Linked DNA regions of Rattus norvegicus. The protein of the gene in region 1 purifies or fractionates together with the protein of each later gene. This does not show direct contact. Links are inferred from orthologs where the notes say so. Each region holds a gene or a part of one and is shown on either strand. Other genes may lie near its edges.

The links.
Region 2: the proteins of Cct6a (region 1) and Pdcl3 purify together in Homo sapiens (affinity purification with mass spectrometry; 3 studies listed by BioGRID and IntAct, with this or other methods). This does not show direct contact. The link is inferred for Rattus norvegicus from reciprocal best matches to the Homo sapiens genes CCT6A and PDCL3.
Region 3: the proteins of Cct6a (region 1) and Tle2 purify together in Homo sapiens (affinity purification with mass spectrometry; 3 studies listed by BioGRID and IntAct, with this or other methods). This does not show direct contact. The link is inferred for Rattus norvegicus from reciprocal best matches to the Homo sapiens genes CCT6A and TLE2.

What each region holds. Positions count from the first base shown.
Region 1 is NC_086030.1:32,508,994-32,512,645, reverse strand, and holds part of Cct6a (T-complex protein 1 subunit zeta), read left to right. Parts: intron 1-99; coding exon 100-196; intron 197-452; coding exon 453-600; intron 601-649; exon of another isoform or gene 650-780; intron 781-1,151; coding exon 1,152-1,285; intron 1,286-2,139; coding exon 2,140-2,242; intron 2,243-3,199; coding exon 3,200-3,272; intron 3,273-3,359; coding exon 3,360-3,432; 3' UTR 3,433-3,652. UniProt on the Homo sapiens protein: Component of the chaperonin-containing T-complex (TRiC), a molecular chaperone complex that assists the folding of actin, tubulin and other proteins upon ATP hydrolysis.
Region 2 is NC_086027.1:48,735,986-48,739,123, reverse strand, and holds the end of Pdcl3 (phosducin-like protein 3), read right to left. Parts: intron 3,066-3,138; coding exon 2,922-3,065; intron 2,047-2,921; coding exon 1,838-2,046; intron 1,659-1,837; coding exon 1,516-1,658; 3' UTR 570-1,515; downstream 1-569. UniProt on the Homo sapiens protein: Acts as a chaperone for the angiogenic VEGF receptor KDR/VEGFR2, increasing its abundance by inhibiting its ubiquitination and degradation.
Region 3 is NC_086025.1:8,769,296-8,772,626, reverse strand, and holds the end of Tle2 (transducin-like enhancer protein 2), read left to right. Parts: intron 1-56; coding exon 57-204; intron 205-968; coding exon 969-1,119; intron 1,120-1,578; coding exon 1,579-1,655; intron 1,656-2,561; coding exon 2,562-2,669; 3' UTR 2,670-2,812; downstream 2,813-3,331.

The DNA.
Region 1 (3,652 bases):
TGCTTTAAGATACACTCTCATGCCATTCTGAGAATCTCCTTGCTTGCACCTGATCACCGTGGCTTACTGTAATCTCCCCAATGTGTTTCACTGTTGCAGGCTGACTCTTGCTTGTGGTGGGATAGCTCTGAACTCCTTTGATGACCTGAATCCTGACTGTTTGGGACATGCAGGGCTTGTCTATGAGTATACATTGGTAAGTGTTTTCTTTCTAAGACTTTTTTGTTTATCAGTGGTCGAGTAGGAAACTTTAAACTCAAAATTAGATGGTTAACAATTTTATGGGGTTTGGTTGGTTGGTTTGAAATAAGTTGGTTTTTGTGTTTGTTCGGTTTAAGATAAGGTTTTACTGTATAGCTTTGGAACTCAGAGACCTTTGCCTCTGTCATAGAGTTAGAGACCGTCATGACTGTGGGTAACCTGTTACTGACAATAATTTCTCTTCTACACAGGGTGAGGAGAAGTTCACCTTTATTGAGAAATGTAACAATCCCCGTTCTGTCACTTTACTGGTTAAAGGACCAAACAAGCACACGCTGACTCAGATCAAGGATGCAATCAGAGATGGCTTGAGGGCTGTCAAAAATGCTATTGATGATGGTAAGAACCTCTCGGTATTTGAACTGTGTTCTTGTTGCTGGTCTAACAGGCATGGCTGAATACTGTGTTCTTTAGTCAGTAATTTACACAGCCAGACACCATGCAAAAGTAAAGGCTTCCGTTTTAGATGGCTGATATGCTATTTTGTATGGTATATCATTATCAAAAGTGAGTACAAGTAAGTGGCTAAGGCTGGTGGCTCCTGAGCTACTGATTACTGCTTATGGTAAGATTCGACCTTTTTGCTGGCTATTGATTGCTTATACTGTGGTATAAGTAAGTCTGTGCAAGGGGTATTGCCTATTGATACAGCACTTGCCTAACACAACTGAGACCTGTACCTCCATCTCTGTTACTGTAAAAACTGCATGCACGTGAGTGTGTGTGTCTGTGTATGTGTTCACAAGCATAGTGAATTTCTAAGTTAATTACCTAATAATATATTACCTTAAAATGAGTTCTAAACTGTTGTCCCTTTTGTTTTATTTTTTATTTGGTAGGTTTTGTATCTTTCTCTGTAACATAGCATTTTCTCTTCCCATGCCCAACAGGCTGTGTTGTCCCGGGTGCAGGTGCAGTTGAAGTGGCACTGGCAGAGGCTCTGATTAAATACAAGCCCAGTGTGAAGGGCAGAGCTCAGCTTGGGGTCCAGGCATTTGCAGATGCCTTGCTCATCATTCCCAAGGTTTGAATACTTACTTAAAACTTGGTTTTGCGGGGTTGGGGATTTAGCTCAGTGGTAGAGCACTTGCCTAGGAAGCACAAGGCCCTGGGTTCGGTCCCCAGCTCCGAAAAAAAGAACCAAAAAAAAAAAAAAAACTTAGTTTTGCGCTCAGCTTTTAGCTATGGTCAGTTGTAAATGTTAGTTTGTTCCTACAGTAGAAAACTAGCCAGTTGTGGTGGCACACGCCTTTTATCCTAGTATATGTGAGGTAGAGGCAGGCAGATTTCAGCCAGCCTGGTACATAGTGAAGCTCATGCCAGCCAAAGGTATTTGTCTGGATACTGCTTCAGCCCTGAGTGGGTAGAATTTAAAAGAATATCCACCCTACCACATCCTGGGACAGGCAAGTAGGAAATCTCTGTAGCTGGACAGGAGAGAAAAAAAAGGGGAAACCAGCTTAGAGATCAGACACAAATTAAGGACCACGTGGTAGGAAGGGGAGTCTTTAATGGGCAGATTAACACAGCTGCGTGGCACCAGCCCAGTAAACCACTGCCTAGATCAGTTGTTATTGGTCTCCATTGGGTACTCAGTAAAGGTTAGGGTTATGACCAGTGCTTTGATTGGCTAGGTTTGGGATGTGTCAGTTGGTCAACTACACCTCTGCCTGTTCTTCATCAGGGAACATGGATAACGGTTCTGTCTTCGGTCAAAGCATGCAACCCCACCCCTGTTTGTTTGGCAGGGGCAGGAAGGGTATGCTGCAGCTCTTGTATGGTCAGAAGACATTTTATAAAATTGGGAATACTGCTCATTTATTCTGGCTTAACCCTCATTTCTCAGCATGTCTTTTCAAGAATTAATTTGTTCTCTAGGTTCTTGCGCAGAACTCTGGTTTTGACCTTCAGGAAACATTAGTTAAAGTTCAAGCTGAACATTCAGAATCCGGTCAGCTTGTGGGTGTGGATCTAAACACAGGTGAGAGTGCTGCACCTTATTTGTGGGGGTAAAACTAGATGGGGTGAAGCTGGGACTGGGAAGGTGGATGACAGGAGGATCTTGGTGCCAGTGCTGTGTACAAAGCAGAAAGCCTGTGTCGGCAACTTATAGGAGATTATGGGGATTTAGCTCAGTGGTTGAGCGCTTACCTAGGAAGCGCAAGGCCCTGGGTTCGGTCACCAGCTCCGAAAAAAAAGAACCAAAAAAAAAAAAGAAGAAGAAGAAAGAGGAAGAGGAGGAGGGGGAGGAAGAAGATTAATAATAATAATGATAGGCTGTAGAAATTGCTCAAAGGTTGAGGGCACTGGTTGCTTTTACAGAGGACCTGGGTTCAATTCTCAGCACCCTCACAACGCTCACAACTGTCTGTAACATCAGCTCCAGAAGATCTGACACCTTCACACAGACATACATGCAGGCAAAAACACTAATGCACATTAAAATAAACATAAATTATATAATAATAATATAAAAAGAAATCTTATAAAAGAAAAAAAATATCGTGGGAGTAACGTTCACAGCATACCATTGTAGGAAAGTAAAAAAAAAAAGAGAGAGAGGGAAGTCAAAGACACATGTGGGTCAACAGCAGTGTGTGCCAAGCAGTGTGCAAATGTCTGGTAAGCAGTTGAGCATTGCTAAAGAGATCAGCCACACGTCAGACATGTTCTGGATAAGAGCAGTGATTGGAAGACTCTTGGATGACTGGTCAGGGATAAGCCATAAAGACCCTGAGGCTGACAAGGTACAGCCTGTGATCCCAGAAGTGAGGCAGCAGGACTGCAGCCTGGATGCTGTCTAGGGCTGTAGTACAGAAAAACATCTTTTAAAAAAATGGTCTCAATTGGCCATTGGTTTTGTTTTAGAATTGGTAGGGTTCATAAAATAGAATGTGTTTTCTTGATAAAAAGCTTTTGGTGCTCTGGCTATTTGCAGGTGAGCCAATGGTGGCCGCAGAAATGGGTGTGTGGGATAACTACTGTGTGAAGAAGCAGCTGCTTCACTCCTGGTGAGTTTGAACTCCCAAGATGACTCTTGGTCAGACACAGAGCAGTTTGGGTTGAAATCTGAGCTGTCCTTTTCTCTTCCCTTACAGTACTGTGATCGCCACCAACATTCTCCTGGTTGACGAGATCATGAGAGCTGGGATGTCCTCTCTGAAGGGCTGAAGTCTGCCTGGGATGCTACAGAATGTTGGGGGGGGGGGGGGTTGTCCAAGCTTCAAGTGATTTGGAAAAGAATTTTCTCTTCCTGATTGGAGAAAAGGAACAGGACATTTGGCACCTATTCAAATTATAATACTGTAAATTTTATTTAATTTTTTTTTGCATTGAGTGAATACACTTAAAGCAGGTCTTTTTAAATCCACTGAACAAGATGTTTTCGTTA
Region 2 (3,138 bases), on another chromosome or scaffold:
CTGCCCGCATCCAGGTCCTGTCCTGAGAACTGAGCCTGCAGCTCCCCAACAATGTGTACACTGCCTGCATCCTGGTTCTACCACTCTCTTAGTGTAAAAATTCCACTTAATTCACTGGTCCTCAACCTTCCAAACACTATGACCCTTTAATACAGTTCTTTATCCTTGGGTGACCCCAACCATAAAATTTTCTATGTTGCTACTTCATAACTAATTTTGCTACCGTTATGAATTGTAAGGTAACTATCTGAGGTGTGGCTCCCAAAAGGGTCACGGCCCACACGTAGAGAACTACTGCTCTACGGCGAACACAGCATCAAACTGCAGCTGTGAGCCACGGCAGAGATTATAAGGCCGCAGCGCTCCTACAAGCCACATGGGATCTTCACCAGCAACAGAACCCAAGACTTTTCCAACCCTGCTGTTAAAACTTCACAGCATGTCCGAAGGAAGCCACTCCAAACGGCTTTTGTTCAGCGGTGTAGTGGGCCCTCCAGTAATAGAAAACAAGGCATTCTCACACTCTGTCAGTCTTGGGATTACAACAAGAAATAAGTTTTACAACATAATCTGAACAAATCCTGTATTCTTAGACTCTTATCTCTAAGGTTCCAATCAGCTATACATGTTACCACATTCAACAAAAATATTATTGATACTTTTCAGCTTTCATCATCAATTTATAGGATTCTGACTCAAAGAGTATCCCGAAACATTTTTATAAATCAGCTGGGACACAGCTTACATGTGTGTGTGCTTAAACCTCAGTCCCCCAAGCCGAACCTAACAGGACCTTAGAGCCAAGAACAGCTCTGTTTTTGGCTTCAAGACAGGGTCTTGGTGAGGTGGCCCTGGCCCTGCAAGCCAGACCAGCCTTGAACTCACATGACCTGCCTGCCTGTGTCCCAGTGCTGGGATTAAAAGCATGTGCCACCACAAAGAACAGCTGGTGTCTTAACAGCCAGAGACACACGTGAGTTAACTGGAAGACTGACCTGAATACAAACATGGTGTAAGCTGAAATCTGTCAGCTAGTTTGATAAGACAGTATTTGTCTCAAAATTATCAGCCATTTCTATCAGCTGATATTTCTTTTGCTAGCTTTATAAAATGAAAATGGACAGTCTGACTTAACTATAAAGCCGAGTTCTTGTTTTCTGCACTGTTATGTTTTAGTTTTTAACTTAATTTATTTGCATTGTGTTTTTAAACTCCACATTCCTTTCTCTATAGTTGCATGTCAAAAGATACTAAACAGTCACAGGGTTTGCTGAAACACATGTAGGAAAACATGGATATGTGACATAAGAGCTTAAATTCTTAAAGAAACATTATAAAGAGTTCCAACAAATTTCTTAAAAAATTTCAGCAATGATTATATCTGAAATGTATAAAATTTAAATAATTATAAAAAGGTTAAAACCCAAAAGGATAAATTATTGCTTTTCCCTCCTTATTGAAACTCCAGACAATGCGTCTTATCAAGAGAGTTCGAAAGGCTGCATCACTGCTATCTTAGTCGTCCTCGGAATCACTGTCCCTCCTCATGGGGACAGGGTCCCGCACTGAGGACAGCAGCACGTCTTTGATGGCTTTCTTGGGGTTCTCCTCCAGCTCTGTCTTGATTGCTCCTGACTCAGATAGTTTCCACTCCAACTCTGGAGACAAAGAAAAGCAAATTGCGTAAGACGCCAGGACCCCTCAGAGGGGTCCTGCCCAAAGCTCACTGCTCCAGGTGACTCTGCAGGGATGAGGCAAAGGCGTGACGTGTGTCATGGACACTGACATCCCCGAGAGAGTTTCCCGCCCACCTCTCACAATATCCTCAAGCCCTCACCATCTATGGTCAGGTTCATGCCACCGAACACCAGGGGACCGATGAACTGTGCCTTGATATCCCCCTCCCGGTAGACGAACACTGTGGGGAGGTTCCTGTCAGGGTAATTGGGTATGCAGGTCGTTGAAATGGCTTTGATAAATTTCACATCGGGAAACTTCCTGGCGAGCCCACTCAAGTGATGGTTTATCAAGGAACAGAGGGGAATCCTGGAACACAGAAGAGAAACAGAGTGGCTGTGATGCGAGCAGACAGGGCAGAGCCTGGTGGCCTTCTCTTGACATGACAACCTCACAGGAACTTCACAGATGTTCGCTATGGCAGAATGAATTCACATTTCTTTAAAAAAAAAAATAAAATAAAGGCCATTCTAGTGTGGTCAGGGAAGGGGAATACCTCCAAACCCAAACTTAACAGTATGTGTGAGGAAAAAGCTTTGATAGTTTATGAAAACCGCTATAGCTTTCTGGACACTGAAGAGAACACAGGATGCCTGTGAAGCAAGCCAGAAAGCATTTCCTGCCTTAAGTGATTTCTGAGCAAGCATCCCGTGAGGGTGAAGAACAGCGGTGTCTGCTGGGAAATCATGGAGGCCCCAGGTCACTCAGCAGCCATGTGGTCCCCCTGCAAGTCCTCAGGTGCACAGAGTAATTCTGAACCGGTTCCTCTGCAGGAACACCTCACTCGCCGTGCTTCGTGTGTCTGGATCTTGCCATGTAACCAGGCTGCCCTCAAACTCGCTATGCCGTCCAGGCTTGTCTTGACCTCTGTCATAGTTCTCGGGCCTCAGCCTCTCATGCTGGGCCTGCCGGTGTGAGCTACTACACTTGGCAGAATTCTTTTAAGTCAAAGAAACCTAAGTCTGTGTTCTATACTTTTAGCGGAAACACATTACTCGCAAACATTAAAGTCTTACGATGGAAACCGAGCTCTATGGTTTGGACCAACAGCTATAAAAACACAGAACACAAGTGCAGATAAAAACAAAACAAAACACAAACCAAATCCCTTTGTAGAGGTTAAGGCTCACACAGACTGGGGACAAAGTCACAGACCACCCACGTGGAGGCCAGCCTCTGCTCACCCTTGTTTGTACAGGTGTAAGACCACCCACAAGCCCTCGCCAGCCTTGGTGACTTCTTGAACGTAATCCTTCCCCGAGATCTCTAAAACTTCTCCAAACTTGTTCCTCAGCTGAGTCGCCTTCCACTCGGCCAGCCTTTGCTGCCTGCACAGAGGAAGAAAGCACTGAAATACAGAAGCCACACCGGTCTGCACGCAAGAGCACCTGCATCGTTCTG
Region 3 (3,331 bases), on another chromosome or scaffold:
CGGGGGTGGTGAGCACATAGGTGACTGCAGACGTGGAGCCTGCTGTCTCCCCACAGACAGTTCCAGGGCCACACGGACGGGGCCAGCTGCATTGACATATCAGACTACGGGACCCGGCTGTGGACTGGGGGCCTGGACAACACCGTGCGCTGCTGGGATCTGCGCGAGGGCCGCCAGCTGCAGCAACATGACTTCAGTTCCCAGGTGCACCCACAATCCTCGGCCTCCCCGGGGTGTTCCTACCTGACCTGAAACCGGGTGGGACACAGCATCTGTGGAGACGGCTTGGTGGGTAAAGTGTTGCCTTGATGGTGTGAGTTCAAATCCCTAGACTACATAAAAAGCCAGACGTAGTTAGACATAAAAATTGCCTATAACCCTGGGCATGCAGAGAGCTTGAGGGCCAGATTATTCAAATAAGTGAGCTCCAGGTTCAGTGAGAGGCTCTGCCTCAAACAAGCTGAGAAGCTGGAAATGGAACACATCTTTTAAAAAAAGATTTACTTACTTTATGAGTACACTGTCGCTGTCTTCAGACACACCAAAAGAGGGCATCAGTTCCTATTACAGATGGTTGTGAGCCACCATGTGGTTGCTGGGAATTGAACTCAGGACCTCAGGGTGGTCAGAGCTGCATATTGACAGTCTCAAACACCCCCCCCCCAAATAAATAAAAAGTAAAAAAAACACAAAAACAAAAACCTCAGACTAAGAGAGACTCTGCAGCTCGTACCCCTAGTCCCCCTGACTCTCCATGAGTGAGAAGCAGGCCACCAAGCCTAGTCAGCCCTGGACCTTCGCCATCTGTACAGCTAGCTCTCTCTGCCCAGAATCCCGAGGTCCTGGGATCCTCTCATGAGTGCTCACGTGTGCACCTGTCCCTGGCCACCTTGTCCCCATAAGGGGCACCCCTGGGTCTCCGGCATCATGAATGGTCCAGAGTCTCAGCACTGTCTCTCTTGCCCTAGATCTTCTCGTTGGGCCACTGTCCCAGTCAGGACTGGCTGGCCGTGGGGATGGAAAGCAGCCACGTGGAGGTCCTGCATGTGCGCAAGCCTGAGAAGTACCAGCTCCGCCTGCACGAGAGCTGCGTGCTGTCGCTCAAGTTCGCTTCCTGCGGTACAGGCCTGGGAGAGCCCTGGGGACAGTATCGGGATGGAGGGAGGGTGGCACACCCAAAGGCTCGACTTAGACAACGAATCAGCCAGGCCTGTTCACCCAGCTGCTCACTGAGGTCCAAGCCAGTTTAGATAAATGCCCAGACACACCCACCACCGATGTCTCACACACACACAAAGGGATGGAGCAGGTGAGGTGACTTGCATGCCTTTAATTCCGGCCCTTGGGAGGTAGAGGCAGTTGCATCTCTGAGGTCAAGTTTAGCCTGGTCTATAGAGCTCCGGGACACCCAGGTCTACATCGAGAAACTGTGGAAGAGACTCCATGTTGACTGGCGGTTCCATGTTGATTGATAGAGCAGAGTGGTGGGCTTCGGGCTGGAGTGAATTTCTAAGCTTTTGGACACTGAAGAGCTGACCCCTACCTTGGGGGTCACTCCCTGCCCCCTCCCCTCCCCAGGACGCTGGTTTGTGAGCACAGGCAAGGATAACCTGCTCAATGCCTGGAGGACACCCTATGGGGCCAGCATTTTCCAGGTATTCACCTCCCCGAAGTGGAGGCCATGTCTGCATTTTCCTGTCCTAGACATGTCCTGTAAGGAGTCCCGCACTGAGCTCCTTGTTGAGCACGATGTTGCCTTGCCAGGAGCCCTCCGTGTTATAGCAAGTGCCACAGCCATGCTCTGTTCATGGCTCTGTGTGCTGGGGTGAGGGCAACTTTGTCTCCCACTGCACTGTTTTCATTTTGGTGTAGATGAAGTGAAATCTTTCTGTAAAAGGGCCTCGTGTGCTGGGCTGTGCTCTTCTCAGCTTAAGTGGCAATTTCTTTTTTATTTTAAGATTTATGTATGTGAGTACACACCAGAAGAGGGCATCAGATCCCATTACAGATGGTTGTGAGCCACCATGTGGTTGCTGGGAATTGAACTCAGGACCTTGGCGAGAGCAGTCAGTGCTCTTAACCGCTGAGTCATCTCTCCAGCCCTAAGTGGCTACTTCTAATAAGTCTCTTGAACCTTCTGTGGACCTGCCAGTCCTTCCCAACAACCAAAGATCTCAGACTCTCCAACCTGGAGCTGGATCATTACTGAGTTGGGGCCTTTATATCAACCCTTCACACATGAGGGATACCACTGCCCCTCTGGGACATGGTGACACAGATCTTCGATCTCAGCGCTTGGAAGGGTGGGTGGGGCAGGAGCATGGTTGGTGAGGGCTGGGGGGAGAGGAGAGGAGGAAGTGGAGGTGCTTTGCTGTGAAGCCATCTGAAGTCAGCTCAAGGAGTTAGGTACCATCTCTCTTAGATCAGTCAGGCTAGCTCAGTCCCCAGCTAGAAGGCCCTGGCCACAGCCACACCTTGTTGTCCTCCAAGCCCCATGTTTATGGTCTGTGCACTTTCTGGTGGTCACCATGTGTCCGCCCCTCACCTCTCCTTTGTCCCAGTCCAAAGAGTCTTCTTCCGTGTTGAGCTGCGACATCTCCAGGAACAACAAGTACATTGTGACAGGCTCAGGGGACAAGAAGGCCACTGTGTATGAGGTGGTGTACTGAACCATGTGCTGCCTTTTCAAGCCACCTGCCCTGGATGGCAGGCCACTCGGGACATGGGTCCCTTTGCCCACACTTGGCTTGCTCCCTCCCGGATGGGTGGGACTGGGGGCACTGGGGAAATATAAGATTATTTATCAACTTGCTTTCCGTGTGTGTGAGTGTGTGTGTGAAGCACACAGAGGACAGACAGAGGCCCAGCTGGGTGTCAGCCTTCCTTTCTCTTTACCTTGATTTTCAGAGTTGGGACCTTACTGTTGATATGCCCTGGCAGACAGGTCAACGAGCCCCAGGGACCCTCCTGTCTCTACCTACAGAGCTAGCACATCCTCGTTGCCTGCCTGGCAAGGGCTTTACCAACTGAGCCATCTTCCTAGCTCTCTAAACCAAAACCAAACAGGGTGAGGTCCGTAGCTGGTGTAGCCCTGGCCATCCTGGAACTCAGAAATCCGCCTGCCTCTGCCTCCCGAGTGCTGGGACTAAAGGCAAATACTAAGAGGTTGGAGGGCTCGGAGCTACAAAGTCCTTCCAAAGCCTGGGAAAAGGACAATCTCCGCCTTTTAAAATGCTTTATTACCTATGACTCAGGGTCTGCACACCTCATGGAAGTCTCTGGAAGCATCGCAGACCCTTCACACCCTGGCCATCCACCACTGTGCAGTTAG